3 linked regions of the Canis lupus familiaris genome follow. The protein of the gene in region 2 interacts with the protein of the main gene of each other region in a biochemical or structural test. Links are inferred from orthologs where the notes say so. Each region holds a gene or a part of one and is shown on either strand. Other genes may lie near its edges.

The links. The genes of interacting proteins can lie anywhere in the genome.
Region 1: the proteins of DLAT (region 2) and PDHB form a complex in vitro, tested with the Homo sapiens proteins (2 studies listed by BioGRID and IntAct, with this or other methods). The link is inferred for Canis lupus familiaris from reciprocal best matches to the Homo sapiens genes DLAT and PDHB.
Region 3: the proteins of DLAT (region 2) and PDK2 form a complex in vitro, tested with the Homo sapiens proteins (2 studies listed by BioGRID). The link is inferred for Canis lupus familiaris from reciprocal best matches to the Homo sapiens genes DLAT and PDK2.

Annotation. Positions count from the first base shown.
Region 1 is NC_049241.1:32,435,221-32,442,517, reverse strand, and holds the start of PDHB (pyruvate dehydrogenase E1 component subunit beta, mitochondrial), read right to left. Parts: upstream 4,244-7,297; 5' UTR 4,181-4,243; coding exon 4,139-4,180; intron 4,056-4,138; coding exon 4,002-4,055; intron 2,431-4,001; coding exon 2,323-2,430; intron 2,232-2,322; coding exon 2,169-2,231; intron 2,069-2,168; coding exon 2,033-2,068; intron 1,632-2,032; coding exon 1,346-1,631; intron 951-1,345; coding exon 840-950; intron 1-839. UniProt on the Homo sapiens protein: The pyruvate dehydrogenase complex catalyzes the overall conversion of pyruvate to acetyl-CoA and CO(2), and thereby links the glycolytic pathway to the tricarboxylic cycle.
Region 2 is NC_049226.1:21,101,535-21,108,227, reverse strand, and holds part of DLAT (dihydrolipoyllysine-residue acetyltransferase component of pyruvate dehydrogenase complex, mitochondrial), read left to right. Parts: intron 1-111; coding exon 112-219; intron 220-4,327; coding exon 4,328-4,443; intron 4,444-6,693.
Region 3 is NC_049230.1:26,048,305-26,055,483, reverse strand, and holds the start of PDK2 (pyruvate dehydrogenase kinase, isozyme 2), read right to left. Parts: upstream 4,244-7,179; 5' UTR 4,204-4,243; coding exon 4,086-4,203; intron 2,186-4,085; coding exon 2,044-2,185; intron 1-2,043. UniProt on the Homo sapiens protein: Kinase that plays a key role in the regulation of glucose and fatty acid metabolism and homeostasis via phosphorylation of the pyruvate dehydrogenase subunits PDHA1 and PDHA2.

The DNA of each region.
Region 1 (7,297 bases), on a different chromosome or scaffold from region 2:
AGAATCAGGAAAGCACAAAAGTTTATGAGGAAAGTGTAACACATTTCTTCATTTCTTTTTTCTCAAGATTTTATTTGAGAGGAGGAGAGAGCACATGTGTGCGAGAGCAGGAGCATGTGAGGAGCACAGGGAGAGAGAGAAAGAGAGAGAGGGAGATCATTTTCAGCACCCTCCATGCTGAGTGCAGAGCCTGACATGGGGCTTGATCCCAGGACCCTGAGATCATGACCTGAGCCAAACCAACAGCTGGACACTTAACTAACTGAGCCACCCAGGTGCCTCAACATGATGGATTTCTTTTCTTTTCTTTTCTTTTTTTTTAAAGATTTATTTATTTATTTATGATAGGCATAGAGAGAGAGAGAGAGAGAGGCAGAGACACAGGAGGAGGGAGAAGCAGGCTCCCTACCGGGAGCCCAACACGGGACTGGATCCCGGGACTCCAGGACCGCGCCCTGGGCCAAAGGCAGGCGCTAAACCACTGAGCCACCCAGGGATCCCCAACATGATGGATTTCTTAACTTGATAATTTCCTAACCAAAGTAAAGGGCAGGAACTTCAAGAATGAATCGTTCGACCAGGGTGCCTGGGTGGCTCACTTAAGTGTCTGACTTTTGATTTCAGCTCGGGTCATGAAGATTGTTAAGACTGAGCCTGGAAAAAAAAAAAAAAAAGACTGAGCCTGGGTTGGGCTCCCTGCTGGGCATGGAGGTTGCTTAAGATTCTCTCTCCCTCTGGCCCTCCCACACTTCTTGGAAAAAAAAAAAAAAAAAGAATTTGACAAACATAAATACAGGAGCTAGATTACAAATACTTTAGCATGTACTAAGTGCTCTTACCTTGCCTTTCTATTTTGGCTTTTCCAATGGGAATCAGAAAATCTTTTGACTGAGCTTCGGAGGGAAATTCAAAAGGAACTCCATACATCAGTTCGTTCTCTAGCACCACCACTACAAAATACAAATGTTTAACAGAACTAACTACATGACCAAATGTATATACATAACTATCATTCATTTTGTGCAAAGTTTCACTGTGCAGATTAGGAAGCCTCCTATCTATTGTGTCCAGTAGCCCTGAGAGGATGGTTTAGGTACTGGCATCTATAGTCTGGTCAGTCCTAATTTTATCTATTGTAGTTAAAATGGTGTTGTAGGTACCTAATAGGCCCCATATAGTCAGAAAAGCAAAAACAACACCTTTTTAATGGTCTTTGCTGTATCTGTAAATCATAACATTTTATATGTCTAAGCCTAACTAGAACCCTTAAACGGCTTCCTTCCAGGCAAAGATTTCAACTTAGTTCCTCAATGTTCAAAAGAGACCCAAGGCTCACTCTACTGACCTGGATTATTATCCCGAATGGCTGATTTAATAAGTCCTTTTGCATCCTCTGAATTCCAGGGGCTGACCACCTTTAAGCCTGGGCAGTGCCCATACCAGGCAGCAAAGCACTGTGAGTGTTGGGCAGCCACACCTGCTGAGGCACCATTGGGCCCCCTGAAGACTATAGGCACAGGCTGAAGGCCCCCCGACATGTAGTAGGTCTTGGCAGCTGAATTTATAACTTGGTCAATGGCTTGCATAGAGAAATTGAAGGTCATAAATTCACAGATGGGCCTCAACCCAGCCTGTCAAATAAAAAACAGAGATCTTAGAAAAACTAAAAAGCAATAAAAAGTGGCAACCACTCCAAACTTCAATGTTTTTAAAAGGTCATGTTAAAAGAAATCTCTTTAGGATTAAAGGGGAAAGGAGAGAAAATGAGTGGGAAGTATCAGAGAGGGTGACAGAACATGAGAGACTCCTAACTCTGGGAAACCAGCAAGGGGTGGTGGAAGGGGAGGTGGGCAGGTGGGTGGGGGGATGGGGTGACTGGGTGATGGGCACTGAGGGGGGCACTTGACGGGATGAGCACTGGGTGTTATACTATATGTTGGCAAATCAAACTCCAATAAAAAATACAAAAAAAATTTTTTTAATTATTAAAAAAAAATCTCTTTAGATGAGATTCATAAAGAGGATTACACACCATAGCTGCACCCACAGCAATTCCAGCAAAGCCCATCTAGAAGTAAAACACAAACACAAGTGAAAATCCATAAAAATCAGAACAGTGTACACTTTAACATGCCCCTGAAAAGTCTGCGTCCTGATGGAAGGCTCACCTCAGATATGGGAGTATCTATGATTCTCTTATCGCCATATTTCTTCCACAGGCCTCGACTAACCTAAAATTACACAATGATCTCATTACTTTTAAGTGTATATGGGGGCAAACAGCCACCTCAATTTATATCGCTTTCACATATCTTGGGTTACCTTATATGCACCATCATACTGGGCAACTTCTTCCCCAAGGAGAAATACCTTCTCATCTCTTTCCAGCTCTTCATCCATACCTTGGTTTATAGCCTCACGAACTGTCACCTGTCACAGGTATGGGGAAAACAGCCAATAAGCTACAGGATTATTTCAGATACTACTGAGATTCTCTCCTTTTATAATTACTAGGCTGCCTACAGCATACGGTATGAAAACTATCGCTAGGACAGGCTTCTCTTTAAAAGTTCAAAGAATCCCCCCCTCAAATAAATAAATAAAATCTTTAAAAAAATGAAAATAAAAGGTGAGGGGAGGGCACCTGGGTGGCTCAGTTGGTTAAGCATCTGCATTCAGCTCAGGACATGATCCCGGGATCCTGGGATTGAGCCCTGCAGTGGGCTCTCTGCTCAGCAGGGTCAGCAGGGAATCGGCTTCTCCCTTTCCCTCTATCTCTGCCCCCTGCTTGTGCCCCTTCTCTCTCTCTCTCAAATAAATCTCTAAAAAAAAAAAAAAAAGTTCAAAGAATTCTAAAAGTAACATTTTCATACACAGTCTTTGGCTGAATTTGTTAATGAAAATACTGAATGCTTTTCTTAATGTGCACCTAAACTTAACAAAAGCTGTTTGCTGGCCAGACCAGCTCAAGTTTCCTGAGTAAAAATTCTATTCAGTTGTTTTATTTCCACAGTCAGTGTAGTATGGGACAGAAAACTGTTAAGAAAGCCTAAATAAAACTATGTTTTGAGCACTCACTAGGTACTGGGAACTTCCAAACACTACCTTCAGAATCTACAAGTTATTTTACTAGACAGATTGAGAGTCCTCTAGTTAAAAAAAAGAAAAAAGAAAAAAAGGAGGGGGTACGGGGTAGGAAATTCCTCAAGTTGAACACAGAACTACTATATGATCCAACAATTCCACTTCTAGAGATGATCAAAAGAAATAAAAGCAGGGACTCAGATACTTGCACACCAGTGTTCTTAGCAGCATTATTCACAAATCCCAAAGGTGAAAACACCCACATGTCCATCAACAGACAGAATGGAGGAACAAGATGTGATATATGCATAAGATGGAATATTATTCAACCTTAAACAAAGAAATGAAATTCTGACACATGCTACAACATGAATGAACCTTGAAAACATATGTTAAGTGAAATAAACCGGATATAAAAGGACAAACACTGCAGGATTCCATTTCCAGGACACACCTAGAATAGATAAATTCAAAGGCACAGAAAGTGCCAAAGAGGTTACCGGGAGCAAGAGGGAAATGGGACGTTCGTGTTTAAGGGGTGGAGAGTTTCTGTGTGTGATGGTGATAAAGTTCTGAAGACCGATGGTGGTCATGGTCTCACAACATAGTAAACGGAAGTACTGCCGCTGAATATACACTTTAAAATGGTAAATCTGGTTATGTATATTCTACTTGAAAAATGTAAATGGGGCGGTTGAGGGAGGAAGCGCGAGGTCTAGTTTCCTCAGATCGCCCACAGATTCCAGTGAGCCTGGCCGGGGCGACTTGCTGGTGTGTCCGGCGCTGGGTCGCAACAGAGGCACTCGGAGTCCCACGCAGGATGTGGGAACCCGTGGACCTCAGGGCCCGTGCCGTCCCTGTCCCCACGGCGCAGGCGCGTCCCTCCCGGGATTCGGGCTAGCGCCCAGGCCACCTACCTGCAGCGCCGCCGGCGCCGTCCGGTGGAAGCGCCTCCTCAGCAACCCCGACACCTGGCGAAAAGAGAGAGAGAGGACGCTGAGAGGGGGCGCAAGGCGGGCAGAGACCACGCGGAGGCACGCATGCCGCTGCCTACCTGTTCCAGGGGTCTCCGCATCAGGCCAGACACCGCCGCCATCTTGACCGTGTCCTCCAGCCGCCGCCGAATGACAACACCGCAGGACCGCAGTCGCCTCAGGCTCCGCCTCCCGCGCCAGCTCAGGCCAATGGCAGCGCGCGGCGCCTGCGTGCCCCGCCCATCCGCTGCCGGGTGAGGGGCCGAGGGGCGGGGCCTAGGTGGCGCGTGGGGCGGTACTACCGCTGTTTCTGGGGCCGGGGCCAATCAACTTCCCGGGAGCGGGCGGCTGCTGCGGTGCGCGCTGCGCGGCGGGACGCGTCTGTAAGCGGTGCTGCCTGAGGCGCGGTGCCCGGAAGGCAGGTTCTGAGGAACGTTAGGTTGAGGCTGCGGGGACCTTCAGAGTTGGGTCAGCCTTTTGCGGGCACTGAAACCCGTAGGGCGCCAAGTGTCGCCTGCGCACGCTCTGAACGAGCCCGGTGGTCCCCGGGCCGGACCGTGCTGTCCGTCTGTTGCTCCCTGGAATGCGAACCGGAGTGTTCATCGAGGCATGAAGCGCCTACTGTGTGCCGGGCATCGTAGTAAGTGCTGTCCAGCTCCTGTAATTCTCACAGGAACCCTCCCGCGTGATGACTGTTACCTCCACTTTTCCTCAAGTCACTTCGGGTTGTCAGTCGTCAGAAAGTCCTTCATCCAGAATTTTCAATCTTTTTTTTTGTTTTTTGGTTGGTCATTTCAAGCGAAATGTGTTAAAGAGAGCTTTTCGCTTCCTCGACCACAGTAAAATGCACATTCCCCCACCACCTCAGAAAGTTCCCTCAACGTTTCCTCCCGATCGTTCCCCACACATCACCCCACAGGCAACCACAGATCTGATCGCCATCACCGTAACTTAATTTGCCTGTTTTAGAACTTGACGTAAAGGGAATTCTATCATTCTTGCGTCTCGCTCAGCAACATGTTTTTGTGATTCATCCATGTCGTTAAGTGTATCAATACTTTATTCCTTTTCTTTTTTTTTTTTTTTTCTTTTATATTCTTTATGCCCAACCTGGGGCTTAAACTCATGACCCTGGGATCAAGAGTCCCATGCTCTTCTGAGCCAGCCAGGCACCCCTCCTTTCTTTCTTTAAGTTTTCTTTTCTTTTCTTTTCTTTTGAAAGAGTTTAAGTGTCACAAGAAATTGTGAAACTGGTGCAAAGAGCATCCATGTGACCTTCAACTATCTTTGCCCAATATCTTGGATGACCATAGTACATTGTCAAATCCCCCAAATTGATAACGGTGCAATGCTCTTAACTCGGGTAGAGACTTTATACAGCATTCATCAGTTTTTTTTTTTAAATTTATTTATGATAGTCACAGAGAGAGAGAGAGAGAGGGGCAGAGACACAGGCAGAGGGAGAAGCAGGCTCCATGCAGGGAGCCCGACGTGGGACTCGATCCCGGGTCTCCAGGATCACGCCCTGGGCCAAAGGCAGGCGCCAAACCGCTGCGCCACCCAGGGATCCCCCATTCATCAGTTTTTATATGCATTCTGGCAGGGGTAGGAGGAGTGTAGTATTATAGAATTGTATTAGACGTACAGATTCACATAACTACTACCACAGCCAGAATACAGAATTGTTCCATCCCCACAAAGCACCTCCCTCCTGTTACCTCATTGTTACCTCCTCCACCCCTAACTCCTGGCAACCACTAATCTGTTCTCAATCACTATAATTTGTTATTTCAAGAATATTTCAACACAGAATCGTACAATATGTAACTCTTGGAGATTAGCTATTTCCACTCAGCCTAATGCTCTTGAAATCCATTCCAGTTGTTGCGTGTATCAACGTTTCTTTATATCTCTAAGTGGTTGCATGTTTATCCATTCACTCCTTGAAGGACATTTGGTTTGTATCCAGTTTTAGCTATTACCAATAAACCTGCAATGAACACTGGCTTTTTAAACATTAGTTTTCATTTCTTCAGGTAAATACCGAGCAGTATGATTATATTGGAGTGTTTTTCCACGGTGGCTATACTATTTTTTTTTTTTAAGATTTTATTTGTTCATGAGAGACACAGAGAGGCAGAGACACAGGCAGAGGGAGAAGCAGGCTCCACGCAGGGAGCCCGACATGGGACTGATCCCGGGTCTCCAGGATCACACCCTGGGCCGAAGGCGGCGCTAAACCACTGAGCCACCCAGGCTGCCCCAGAGTGGCTATACCATTTTACATGACCTCCAGCAAAGTATGAGACATCCAGTTGCACTAAATGCTTGCCAGTGTGTGATATTATCAATATTTTCTATTTTAGCCATTGTAATACATGTGTAGCAGTGTCCCTCATGACTTTAATTTACATTTCTCTAATGGTTAATTATTAAACATCTTTTCATATGCTTTTCTGCCATCCATCCTTGATGAAGTGTCTGTTCTTTTGTTCGTATTCTAATTAGATTGGTTTTTATTGTGGTAAAATATATATCACATAAAATTTACCACTTTAAGCATATAGTTCATTGGCATTTAATATGTGCATATTGTTGTTCAATCACCACCACTATCCATTTCCAGAACTTTCTCTCTTTTCTTTTTACTTTTAAATAATCTCTACACCCAGTGTGGGGCATGAATTTAGGATAAGGATCAGGCATGATCCTGAGATCGTAAGTTGCACGCTCTACAGGTGGCTCTACAGCTAGGTACCCCTCCTGAACCTTTTCATTTTCCCAAAAGGAAACTATTCATTAAACAGTAACTCTCCATTTCCGCCTTCCGCTAAGCCCTGGCAATGACCATTCCATCTGTATAAATTGGACTGCTCTACCTCATGTAAGTGAAATCATACAGTATTTGTGTGTGTGAGTGAGTGTGACTAGCTTGTTTCAGTTATTGTAATGTCTTGGAGGATCATCCATATTGTAGCATGTATCAGAATTTCATTCCTGGGCAGCCCCGGTGGCTCAGCGGTTTAATGCTACCTTCAGCCCAGGGTGTGATCCTGGAGACCCGGGTATTGAGTCCCATATCAGGCTCCCTGCGTGGAGCCTGCTTCTCCCTCTGCCTGTGTCTCTGCCTCTCTCTCTCTCTCTCTCTCTCTCTCTCTCTCTGTGTCTCTCATGAATAAATAAATACAATCTTAAAAAAAAAAAAAGAATTTCATTCCTTTCTAAGGTTAAGTAATAGT
Region 2 (6,693 bases):
TTTGAGGTAGCCATTACCAGGGAACAGGGTAAAGAGGCAAACAGAGCCCTGCATTAGGTAAAATCTCACCTCAGCTTAAGATAAGTGATGTTTTAATCTCTTTGATTTCAGGTTATTGCACAGAGATTAATGCAGTCTAAGCAAACCATACCTCATTATTACCTTTCCATTGATGTAAATATGGGAGAAGTTTTGTTGGTACGGAAAGAACTTAATAAGGTAAGAGGTTTGGAAATTCCAACTCTGAAATTCTAAAATTCTTGTTTTTCCCCACTAAACATTTACATTTTTACCTATATTTTTTGTGACAGTATGTTGATGATGGAAAATGGTGTCCTCTTACTAAATTTATTTATTTATTTTAAAGAGTGGGAGACTGGTGGGTGGGGAGGGGCCAAGGGAAAGGGAGAGAGAATCTCAAGCAGGCTCCACACCCAGAGCGGAGCCTGACTCAGAGCTGGATCTTACAACTCTGAGATCATGACCTGAGCCAAAATCAAGAGCCAGACTCTTGACTGAGCCACCCAGGCATCCCAGTTGTCTTCTTAATTTTAACTTGCTGAGAGAATATCTTGGAGAATTTTTGTTTTCTAACCCTTGATTAAAATTTCTCATTTAAAGTTGATTTTGCGGGATCCCTGGGTGGCGCAGCGGTTTGGCGCCTGCCTTTGGCCCAGGGCGCGATCCTGGAGACCCGGGATCGAATCCCACGTCAGGCTCCCGGTGCATGGAGCCTGCTTCTCCCTCTGCCTATGTCTCTGCCTCTCTCTCTCTCTCTCTCTATGTGACTATCATAAATAAATAAAATTAAAAAAAATTTAAAAAAAAGATTAAAAAAAAAAAATAAAGTTGATTTTGCCACGGATCCATTTTAGCCTAGCACAATCACTATGATTCTATGAGGCTAGATAAGAAACAGTATGTTTACTCTGTTTACAGTTAAGTACCAACTACCTACTTATGCTTAGCATGAGGCACTTTTAGGAATACAGCATAAGTCATAGTCCTCCATGAGCTTAAGTTTTTAATCTAATGGAGATAATGCATGTGAAAAACAGAAGAGGCAATTTTTATTAAAGTAAAAATACCCGTTGGTAGGTCAATTTCTTTATGGTAATGCCCCTTGACTGCTAAATTACACTGTATAGGTTAAGTGTTCTAGGAATTCAGAGAAGGAGGACACCAATAAAAGTAGTTGGGGAATTCACAGTGGTGTGGGAAAAACTTGATTAAGCTATGGAGAACAGGAAGGGTTTGCATTGGCAAAGAAGTTGAAGATAGTTCATTATACTGATGGAATATCATAAAGGCAAAATGCTTTTTAAAAAGGACGTAAGTGGGCAGCCCCAGTGGCTCAGCGGTTTAGCGCCTGCCTTCAGCCCAGGGCACGATCCTGGAGTTCCAGGATCGAGTCCCACATTGGGCTCCCTGCATGGAGCCTGCTTCTCCCTCTGCCTGTGTCTCTCATGAATAAATAAATAAAATCTTTAAAAAAAAAAAAAAATTGCATAGGAGGGACACCTGGGTGGCTCAGTGGTTGTCTGCCTTTGGCTCAGGGCGTGGTCCTGGGTTCCCAAAACAAGTCCCGAATCGGGCTTCCTGCAGGGAGCCTGTTTCTCCCTCTGCCTGTGTTTCTACCTCTCTCTCTCTCTCTCTGTGTGTCTCATGAATTTAAAAAAAAAAAAAAAAAAAAAAAAAATCTTAAAAAAAAAAAGAATTGAGTAGGAGGAGATATGAAAACTGTTTTCAAAGAAGTGAAAAGTAAAAGCCAGTGGCACTCAGCATTATACAGGTTATCTATAACCTCTCTGACCTCCTGCTTTTCCACTCCACTCCTTGCTCATTCTGCTCGAAAAAAATTGTCTTCCTGTTCCTCGACACTCTGCCTGTATACTCCTACTTTAGTCCCTTTGCACGTACTGTTCCCTCTGCATGGAATATTCTTCCCCTAGCATCCACCTGGTTTCTTCCTTTACCACCTTAAGGATTTGACTCAGTATCACCTTCTCTCATCTTCCCTGGTTACCTTATTCTAAAATTAAGGGAAGAGGAATGGGGTGAGTAATCAGTTTTCCCATTAGTTCTTTTCCTCTGTTTTTTTCTCTTTAACATTATCTTACATATTATATATTTCATTTATTTATTATCTGTCTACTCCTTTAGAATGTAAGATCCCTAAGAGTAGAATTTTTACCCATTTTTTTCCACTGCTTTATATCCAGGGATTTTTAGAACAGAGTACTCAAATATTAGATGCATGAATGAATAAAGCAAGAAGCATTAACAGGTAGTAACTGGCTATATGGCTTAAAGATGATTGCATGCTTTTACTAGCAAAATGGTAAAGCTATTTTATAATCTATTTGAAAATTAGACATGAAAAGTATGCATCCAGTGTATTATTTTATTCTTTTTAACAGTTTTATTTAGGTACATTTCACATATACCATTCAGCCACTTAAAGTTTACAATTCAGTGGCTTTTAGTATATCCTGAGTTCTATGACCATCACAATGGATTCTGGAACATTTTCATCACCCCAAAATGAAATCATTCTCCCATTACCTTAGCCCCCACTCCAATCCTCCCATCTTCCCCAACCCTAGATAATCACTACCTACTTTTTGTCTTAGATCTGCTTGTTTTGGGTATTTCCTGTAGGAATAGGGATTTCATTGAATCTGTAAATAATTTGGGGAGTATTGTCTTCTTAGTACTGTTCCTACTCCATGACCATGGAGTGTCTTTCCATTTATTTAGGTCTTCTTTCACTTCTTTCAATAATTTGTACAGTTTTTCAAGTATAAGTTTTTGTACTTCTTTTGTTAAATTTATTCCTAGATATTTTATTCTTTTTAATACTATTATAAATTTCATTTTCAGAGTGTTTATTGCTATTATAGAGCAATACTGTTGATTTTTGTGTATTGCTCTTGTATCCTAAAACCTTGTTTTTTATTTAGTGTTAAGATTTTCTTTTTTTTTTTTTCTTTAAGATTTTCTATATGCAAAATCATTCGTCTCCAAATAGAGATAATTTTGCTTTTTCCTTTCCAATTTGGATGTCATTTATTTCCTTTTCTCACCCAACTTCTTCAGCTAGCACATCTAGTAAAATGTTGACTGGAAGTTGTCTTGTTCTTGATCGTAAGAGGAAGTAAGTCTTTCACTAAAGTACAATGATGATGGTTGTGGGACTTTTGTAGATCTGTTTTATCATGAGATGTGGGAAGTTCCTTTCAATTCCTAGTTTGTTTGTTTTTTTTTTTTTTTTTCAATTCCTAGTTTTTATGAAGTGGTAGTTGAATTTGCTCAAAAGCTTTTTCTGTGTCTATTGAGATGGTCATGTGATTTTTGTCCTATATTCTGACATTATTACATTAATTGATCTTCAGATGTTAACCAACCTTGCATTTCTGGGACAAATTCCATTTGGCTGTGGTGAATAATCCTTTTCATATATTGCTGGATTTGGTTTGCTAGAATTTTTTTGAGGGTTTTTGGATCTGTATTCCTAGGTATTTGAGTTTTATTTTTTCTGGGTTTTGTTTTTTGTGTGTGTGTTTTTTTTTTTTTTTTTACTGTGATATCTTGGTCTGGTTTTGGTATTGGGTTAATACTGGTGTGTCAGAATGAGTGGAGAAGTGCTCCTTCTTTTGTGTTTTGGAAGATTTTGTGAAGAATTGATATTCTTCAGATGTTTAGCAGAATTCACCATTTGGGGAAGTCATCTGGGTCTAAGTTGTTCTGTGTGGGTATTTTTAAAATTATTCAGTCTCTATTACTAGTTACAGATCAATTCAGAGGTTTTATTCCTTTTTGATTCAGTTTTGGCAGCTTGTATCTTTCTAGGAATTTTCCATTTCATCTAAATTATCTAATTTGTGGGATAATTGTTATAGCATTACCTTACAATTTATTTGGTAGGTTATGTAGTAACGTCCCACATCATTTCTGATTAGAAATATGAGTCTTCTTTTTTCTTTGTCAGTCTAGCTGAACATTTATCATTTTGTTGATCTTTTCACGGAACCAACTTTTGGTTTTGTTCAGATAAGTGAAAATGAAGGCATAACATACCATAACTTAAGGGATACTGCTAAAGCAGGACTTAGTAGGAGGCTTATAGCTACAGACCTACATTAAAGACCTACAAAAAGGCCTACATTAAAAAGATGAAAAAACCAACTTTTAATTTCATTTCATCCTTTATACCTCAGGACATTTGTATTCTCCCCCCCCCCCCCCCCCAAGTCCCTGCCAGAGGTTATGTTTCAGTGTTTGGGAAGAGAGTTTAAGAAACTACGATGGTTTCTTGTCTTTGCAGATGTTAGAAGGGAGAAGCAAAATTTCTGTCAATGACTTCATCATAAAAGCTTCAGCTTTGGCATGTTTAAAAGTTCCTGAAGCAAATTCCTCTTGGCTGGACACAGTTATAAGACAGTAAGTAAGATACTGCTGGTCAAGGTATATGTATCCACCAGCAGATTTCTTGTGCTATCTCACATGTAACTAGGAATATAGGGGATAAGGAGAAATGGAATACAGGGAGGGAGATGACTTCCATAGGCAAAACAGTTTGAAAACAATGTAAAACTATTTATAAGATAAGGCTAAATTTAGTTAGTGAAGACTACAAATTCTACGAGTTTAGAGAGGCAGATAAGTTTACAGATGTGAATAATTAAGTTGATAACTGTTATAAAGCAGGGTTGAAATGATTTTTGCTCACCAATTAGTTCTGCTGAATTCTAATGGGAGCAAATTGAAAACAAAACCAAGAAGCATATTTGTTAATATTATGGTGGCATTGTGAGTGGCATGGTGCTCAGTGTCTTCCCATGTCTCATTTTAATCCTTAGGACCACCTTATGAACTAGGGCTTTCACTTCTATTTTACAGGTGAAGAAACTGAGGGTTCAATGAGTTAAATAACTTTGCTTGAATTAATATGTTATAGTAAGTAGCAAAACTGTGATTGGAATCAAGATTCTGACTTCTGCACCTAGGTTTCTTCTACTATGTAGATTTTTTTATATTATATAAAATAATAGTATATACATTAGAATATTGCTTTGTGGCTTACAGTGACCTATTTAACTTTTATTTATTTTTTTTTTTTAATTTTTATTTATTTATGATAGTCACACACACAGAGAGAGAGAGAGAGAGAGAGAGAGGCAGGGACATAGGCAGAGGGAGAAGCAGGCTCCATGCACCGGGAGCCCGACGTGGGATTCGATCCCGGGTCTCCAGAATCGCGCCCTGGGCCAAAGGCAGGCGCCAAACCGCTGCGCCACCCAGGGATCCCCTATTTAACTTTTAATCTGTGGTCTACTCTCAAGAGGCAAATACGACTTTTTTTTTTTTTTTTTTTTTAAGATTTTATTTTTAGAGAGACAGCATGAGCAGGGGCAGAGCATGAGAGGGAGAGGAAGAGAATCCTAAGCAGGCTCCATGCTCAGCAGGGATCCTGACATGGGGCTTGATCTCTCAACCCTGAGATCATGACCTGAGCGGAAATGAAGAGTCAGATGCCTAATCGACTGAGCCACCCAGGCACCTCTATCTTCATATTATTAAATAACATTTTCCTGTTTCCTTTTATGGATTTTTCATTTTATCAGCTGATTTGATATCAGTGAAGATTAAAATTTAGCTTTTTTGTACCCTACACACACACACACACACACACACACACACACACACTGTTATCCTGCCAAATCGATTATAGCACAAATTCTGGATAAATCAGTATTAATATTTTTATGCCTATGAAAATATTATTTATGATTAAGACATGTATGCTGTGAATACTGACCAAACTGATCTTAATGCTTGTCTAAGAAGGGGCTATGCACTCCTTCATCATCAGTTCTTTCTAAAAGTTTCCAAGAGAACACTAAACCATTTTCCAAGCCTGTCAAACGTAACAGGTAACCTACTTTGCTTGGTCATCCATCTCTTAGAGAACATCTGAGGGTCTAACTATTCCTTATGGACTATATTATTTCCTGGGGCCTCTATTATAAAAGATTTTATTTATTTATTCATGAGAGACACACAGAGAGAGGATACGGGACTCGACTCCAGGACCCTGGGAGGCACCCCCTAGGGCCTCTATTATAAATGACCACTAAATGGGTGGCTTAAAACAAAAATTTATTCTCTCCTACTTCTGAAGGCCTGAAGTCTAAAAGCAAGGTGTTAGTATGGCTGCAAACCTCCATAGGCTCTAGGGGAGAATCTTTCTTGCTTTTTCCAGTTTGGGTAGCTCTAGCATTCCTTGGATTGTGGCAACATAACTCTAATCTCACATGGCCTTCTTCTCTGTCTCTTACAAGGACACTTGGCATTGGATTTAGGGACCACCCAGATAATTCAGGATGATTTCATCTCAAGATCCTAATTAACCCACAAAGATCTTTTTACTAAATAAGGTCAGATTGATGGGGCGCCTAGGTGGCTCAGTTGGTTAAGCATCTGCCTTTGGCTCAGGTCATGATCTCAGGGTCTTGGGATGGAACCCCCCATTGGGCTCCCTGCTTAGCGGGGAGTTTGCTTCTCCCTCTCTCTCTGCCCCTCTCCCTCCACTCATGCTCTCTCTCTCTCTCAAATATATATAAAAGTAAGGTCTCATTGATAGATTCTGAGATTAAGACAAAGACACATCTTTTAGTGAGCTGTTATGAA
Region 3 (7,179 bases), on a different chromosome or scaffold from region 2:
ACCTCTACATCCAAGCTGGCAATGGGCTCTCCTGGAGGAGGTCTGCACTCTCTCACAGGCGGCCACCTTGTCCCCATCAGAAAGTCCCTCCTCCTCTCAGACCTCACTCTCTTGCTGCAGCCCATGATGCCCATTCTCTGGAAACAACTTCAGCAGGCTTTGGTCAGTGCATCAGGACACTCCAGCAATTCCACGGCCTGTTCTCCACTAAGCTGAATCCACTGGGAAGTGTTTTCTCTTGTGTAACTTCACTCCATCCTGCTGTTGCTGGACATTTCCTCCCTCGAAGCTTGGAAGTAATGACCAACACAATCCCACACACATGTAACTGATTTCCAGGAATGGCCTCTGCAGGGGCCTGGGGCTTCATGGGCAGTTAGGCAGCTCCCTGCTCCCCCACACCCCAACACACATCCCCTGGCTCTCCTAGGAACACAGCGTCCAGGGAGGGGCCCGAGAGGGCCTGTCCTGGAGTCAGGGGCCCGCTGGAGAGGCAGCCAGGCCAGTCAGCCAAGCAGAGCTGGAGGAGGAGTGGGCAAACAGATGGCACCTTCTGTCTCCTCCCCGTGACTTCCCTACCACCCTGCAGTGGGAAATGCTGGTTGGCTCAGATGTCCTGGACTTCTGAGGGCCAGAGCCCAGCGGGGGGTGACCTGGTTGAGCTATAGGAATGCCAGGCCCTGCCCACTACCCCATCCCCTTCACAGCTCGCACCGAAATCGCTACAGGCACAGAGTGAGGTTGTGGAGGCCCTCACTGGGCCCTTACCTGCCTCCACACCCTGGCACAAGCAGTTCCAAGGCCTGGAATGCCCATCCTTTCCTTCTAGGTCTAGGCTCACTCAGGCACCCTGTAAGGCCCAGAGACATGCCACCTCCTCCATGCATCCATTCCAACTTCCCTACAACTCTCCGATTCAACTAACATTCACTGTGCGCCTATTATGTGCCTGGCCTCCCGCACAAAACACTTTTCTTACCGTGTCTCATTAAGTCAGAGTAAGTCCTGCATATGCATATTCATCCATAGAAACAACGCTGGAAGGGCACCAATAAAATCTTACCAAACTCTAAGTGTTTGGTCATGGGGTGGAAGGCAGTGGTTGGCATTCTCTTCCGTTTTCCTATGTTTTCCAAGTATCAAAGGGGACATGTTACACTTCCACAGTGAGGAGGAAAAGAACCCCAATTTTGTTACTTTTAAATACTAGTTTGACTCTTAAGTAAAAGTAGCTCTTTAGCAGCTCACTGCTCCTACCACCATCCACCATCCTGGGCTCTCAGTTTACCCACCCTTCTGCTCCCCACAAGATCACAGGCTCCCCGAGGGTAGCCACTGCTACTGCTTTACTGTTCCCAGCGTGGAGCTGGCTCATGGCAGGTGTAGGCCCCTGCTCCTGAATCCATAGGGAACCATAGTTATACCACACCATTGCCAGAAGAACTAGCAAAGGGTTTCTGCACAGGTGCCACCAAAGGCCAACCAGATTAACCATTTGCATGCCAGTCACACAGCAAACTCCTCTTTGTTCTTCATGTGACCAGCCGTTGGTTAATGTCATCTAGTTACCTAACCTGGGACAGAGTTCTAGAGTGACCTTTACAGAGGATTTTCTGCTGCTACTGCTGTGATTTTTGGTCTTTGCCCCTCCAAAGTTCTCGGGGGCAGGTACTGTGCCATCTTTGTGTCTGTTTTCCAACATGACTGGTAGCTTGGATCATATAATTTGAAAATTCATTTCTCCCTGTTTCTGTTTGTCTACAATGTTGCCTTGTTTTGGTTGGGATCCTGGGTTTCTAGAGAAAGAAGACTGGTAAGTATAGGGCTAGCCCACAGGCATGGAGGCTAGGAACTTTATCTCAGGCCCTGCTCTGGCTTAGCATTCCACTTGGCCTTGGGCAACTCTTCAGCCTTTTAGAGCCCCTGTGACTCCCCTCTGTGCCCACCTCCCTCAAGGCTGCCAGGAGCACAGAGATTCTGGGAGCCTAGCAGCATCTAGCAGTAGAATGAAAGGAGGTGCAGGGACCTGGCCAGGGGTCTCACCAGCTTTGGACCAGCTGCACCGAGGGTGTGCTCAGCACTCGGTCGGGAAGCAGGTTGATCTCCTTCATGATGTTGGCCAGGCGCACAGGCAGCTCCTGCCTGAGGAAGGTGAATGAAGTTTTCTCACAGGCATTGCTGGACCCTGGAGGGAGAGAGAGAAGTGAGCCAACAGAGCTGCAAACCACTGGAGCCAGAGGTCATCTCAGGGATCAGGACAATTAAATCTTTCATTTCCTGAGGGTTCAGAGAAGTGATCAGGGCACAGAGCCAGGCAGCTCTCCTAATCCCCTGTAGTGCTCCCACCTCCACACCACCCTGCCTAATCAGGCCTGGCCTTGTGTCCCCTCCCCTACCCCCTGCTGGCCTTCAACCGCAGGGGATAGGGCCACTTCCAGGCCTACCTGGAGCCACCTCTGGCCTCAGTTACCTCACTTCTTCACTTTCTGTCTCTCTTAGCAAATACTTGCTTTGTGGAGTGGAAGGGGAGAGGTGGATCCGGGTGGGCAGAGGAGCCTGGGAAAACCATCCTTTCCCAGGTCTGGGCCTGCCTAAGGGATGCTATGCCTCGACCACAGCAGCTACAGGGACCCAGTGTCATTTCTGGCCCAGTCCATCTTTACCCAGGCTGGTCTTGATGACCACTGTAGAGTTGTCCTTATGTTAATGCTCATGTGTGAGGCACACAGGGCCCAAGAATGAGAACCCAAGTACCTTGGTCCTTGGTCTGGCTTCAAGATGAAGATGGGGTGGTAGACTGAGGCCATGGCCTAGAGTCAGAAGACCTAGATGCTAGTCTAAGTTCTGCTTCTGAGCCTGCCACCTAGGGCATGTGACTACCCTTCTGAAGATCTCTTTCCCCCACTGTACTACAAGTGGACCAAACGCTACTGTGAACCCCACCTGGCCCATTTATATAAGCAGGGTCCAGTTTAAACCGGACAACTACTGGTGGCTAGGAATGGGCCCTGGGGGCTTTCCTACTCTGGAATAGCTCAAGTAGGGCAGGGGGACAGGCAGACAAGTCCTGGGGAACAGGGGCCCTCTGTCCTACTGTCACTTCCCCACCCCCCTCCCATCAGTGACGCAGCTGTAACTTGAGCCAGGCACTGTCTCTTCAACTCCTAAGAGACCTGGGCACCCCCTCCTAATCCCCAGCTGGCACCGTGGAAATACCGCGTAGACAGACAGGGCCCACACAATGCCTGTTTCAGTGGCTACATTGGCACAGCCTTGCTTCTGCTCCAGAGGCCCCCCCAGAGCGTTGCTGGTGGGTGATCCTGGCCCAGGAAGCTAGGGGCAGCCAAGGCTGCCAGCCTCCTGACTCCACCTCATGGTGCTCCAGGCCTGCGCCCTGTTGGGGACAGGAAGCCAGGCCCAAACAGATTTGCTCTTCAAGTGTCCTTGCCTACTGGGACAGCTCGGGGCCCGCTCCTTCAGGGGGTGGAGGTATACTGATCATCGACCTCCTTCCTGCTGACATTTTCTGAAAGAGCGGGGTCCCCACCTGACCCCGGGGTGCCCAGCCCAGCCCAGATCTCCTTCCAGATGTCTGCATCTACTAATCTTGCCTTGTTACTCCCACCAGCATCCCCACCCCATTTCCTCTCCATCTCCAGACTCTTTGAGTCACTAGGACAACCACCATTAACCCTTTTTGTCTGGATATACCCCACTCCCTTCTGGCCCTAACATCACCACCTTGCCTGACTGTCCCTTACTCTGCAAGACCTCTGCACAGTCCAGCAAGACACTGGGACCCCTCCTTCTCAGTGCCCCCACTTCCCACTGACAGCCCGGTAGAGAGCTCTCCCCCAGGGTACCTTAACCCTTTCAGGGCCGGCCCCTGCCCCACCCCACGCCTTAACCCTTCCCTGCCTGGACCCCTCCCAGCAACCCTTCCCAGTCACGCAGGGCCTCTCTTCTCCGCGTTGATCCTTCAAGACCAGGGTCTCCCTCACTCACCGCCCCCCCCGCGCCCCGCTGGCCCCCAAGTCCAGCCGCCACCCCACCCCACCCCACCCCACCCCCCGCCCACTCCCTACCGAAGTCCAGAAACTGCTTTATGGACAGCGGGGACGGGGAGAACTTGCTGAAGTGCTCGATGTACTTGGGCGCCCCTGCGAGGGACGCGTTCTTCAGCAGCGCGCGGACCCAGCGCATGGCGGCGGCGGCGGCGGCGGCGGCGGCCGCGGCTCGGGCTCCGGCTCGGGCTCCGGCTCGGGGTCCGGTCCCCACCGCGAGCGGCGCGGCCGCTTGGCTCGGCTCGGCCCAGCCCGGCCGGCACACGGGACCCGCCGCCTCCTCCCCGCCCCGGCCCGGGCGGTCCTCCCCGCCCCGGCCAATCGGCTTGCCGCGGCGCCCCGGCGGCGCCAATGGGCGCTCACAAACAACCCGGGCCGAGCCAATCGCCTCTCGCCCCGGCACGTGGCTCCCCTGGGCCCGCCCCCTTAACCCCGTCCTCGCCCGGGCGGCCTGTTGTTTTCGGGAGGCCGCGCGGAGAGTCCGCCTCCCGCGCGCTCGCTCCGCCCGTGCCCCCTCCCGGCCGAGCCCCGCTCCACCCCAGGCTCCGCCGACGTCGGTCGTTCCTGCCTGTCCCCGGCCTCTCCCGCGCCCCCCGCCCCCAAATCTCCGGGACTCGCCTTCCCTGCGATCGTCTGGGCAGCTTTCAACGAATCCCTTCCCTCCCGAAGGGACCTGTTCCAGCTGCTCTTCCCCGCTTGCGCTCCCTGGGGGGACGGGTCACTGTCATCCAGACTGGGAAAGTTTGCAAACTTCGGGGTCAGGATGCACGCCCGTGCTAACCCTCCGTGTAGACAAGCACCCCAGCACTTCCACAAAGATCCAAGCGGCTCCGGAAAACACGGCGCCCAGAGTGGAAACCCCAACGCAGGCCTGGCGGCGGCGGGGGCACCCTTAACATCGGCGCTGGGAGTGCAGTTCTCAACACTTTAATTATTCTCTAATCATTTGACCTTAGAAAGCGACCATCTTCGCACTGGGGTTCCTTAGAGAGAGGTCCTGGCAGGTGATCTGCGCGGGGGACCTGGGAGCCATTCCTGCGCCAGCGTCCTGCGCTCTCCGGCTCTCTCGCAGGAAAGGAGCGCGAGTTCTTGCGGTGGAACGTGGTACGTGCTGACCCCCGCCTTTCCCTTTGATGTCCCCCCTTCTTCACTGTTCGCTCCCTGGGCCGCACCGACCAAGTGCCCGATATGTGCTGGGCTTTGTGCTGAGAACAGGAAAACCACAAAGGATAAGGAAGTAGTTTTTTCCCTCAGCCATTTGTTTTCTCAGTTTGGGAGGTAGCGGCCTAAGTAAATAGGTCGTTACTGTGTAACAGAATGTGATTACGGTCAACACCAGCTGTGCCCAAGGCTTTGCCACGGAAGGGACTCTTAACTGAATAATAGCCTGCGTACCAGGCACTGTTTGCATACATTAGCTCCTTTAATTCTCCAGGTGTCTCTCTTGTGCTTTATTATCCCCATTATATAGATGAGGAAACTGAGGCTCAGGGATCATTCTCAAAAGCAAATCTGAACTTGTTTACAGACTTTTTCAGGGGCTCTCTTACTGGAGGCTTTCCAGCTCTTGCACGATCTGCTTTGGCTTAAGTCTCCAGCCTCCTCTCTCCACGTCGCCCTGCTTGACTCCCAGCCATACTTATCTACCGCCTTGAGCAACCTCCAGGCTCCAAACCGTTGCAAATGCTGTCTCTTCTGTCTGGATAATTCTTTCTCCTCACTGCCTATCCATTCTTCAAGGCTCTGACCCTGCCAGGCTGGGTTATGGGCTCCCTCTAAAGGCTTCTTAGACCTCCCCAAACTTTTCTTTAAAGATTTTATTTATTTATTCATGAGACACAGAAGGAGAGAGAGAGAGAAAGAGAGAGAGAGAGAGATCAGGCAGAAGGAGAAGGAGGCTCCATGCAAGGAGCCGGATCCCGGATCCCAGGATCACTCCTTGAGCCAAAGGCAGACGCTCAACCACTGAGCCACCCAGGTGTCCCAGACCTCCCCAAACTTAACACCATTTGGCTCTTATCAAATCTGGAAATCTGGAAATCGTTTGCTGACTCATCTGTCTCCTCCACTAGACTTTAAACTCCAGGAGGGCAGGGCTGTCTGTGTCTGTGTAATTCACTGCTCTATCTCCAGCACCAGGCACATAGAAGGGAAAAGAGCATGAATAAAGAATTGGGACCACCAGGGAGGCATGCCACAGAGTTATCAGGGAGGACCACCGAATATCCTTCCAGCAAGCAATTAAATCATGCACTATGTTGGTGAGTCAGTCTTCAAGTTGCCCAGAGGAGCATACAGGATGCTTGCGTGTAAAAAGCCCAGTCCTGTACCTGGCACATAGTAAATAATCAATAACAGCTATTACTGTTGTCCAAATTTAAGCAAGGAGGGGCACCTGAGTGGCTCAGTCGGTTGAGCATTGGACTCCTGGTTTTATCTCAGGTCATGTTCTCAGGGTCATGAGATTGAGCCCCATGTTGAGCTCATAAAGGTATCTGCTTGAGGATTTTCTCCCTCTGCCCTTCTCCGTGTGCATGCTCTCTCTCCCTCTCTCTCTGTCTCTCTCTCAAATAAATAAATAAAAAGATAAATAAATATGGGACGCCTGGGTGGCTCAGCGGTTGAGCATCTGTCTTTGGATCGGGTCATGATCCTGGGATCGAGTCTCACATTGAGCTCCCTGCATGGAGCCTGCTTCTCCCTCTGCCTGTGTCTCTCCCTCTCTCTGTGTATCTCATGAATAAATAAATTTTAAAAATTAATCTTAAAAATTGTTAAGTAACGAGGAAAAGGCAGCAAACTCTGAGGCAAGGTAGAGGAGAGAGAGAGATTTCTTCTGATCCTCTCCTTAGTGCTGGACCTTTATATTGTGGCCTCTGCTTGGATCAAAATTCCTTCTGCAGAGATTGCTGCAGGGTGATAATGGGAGTGGTATGGGGTGGTCAAGCTAGGTTAGAAGATGCTGAGGTTAAACTCCCACCAACCTCCCATCCCACACCCCACCATGGCCTAATTTCCCACTACATGTACAAGGAATGTTGGGGGTTGCTCTCAAGGACTCAGATTGGGGGAAAAAAAAAAAGGACTCAGATTGGCAGACGTTTTATCTCAAGGC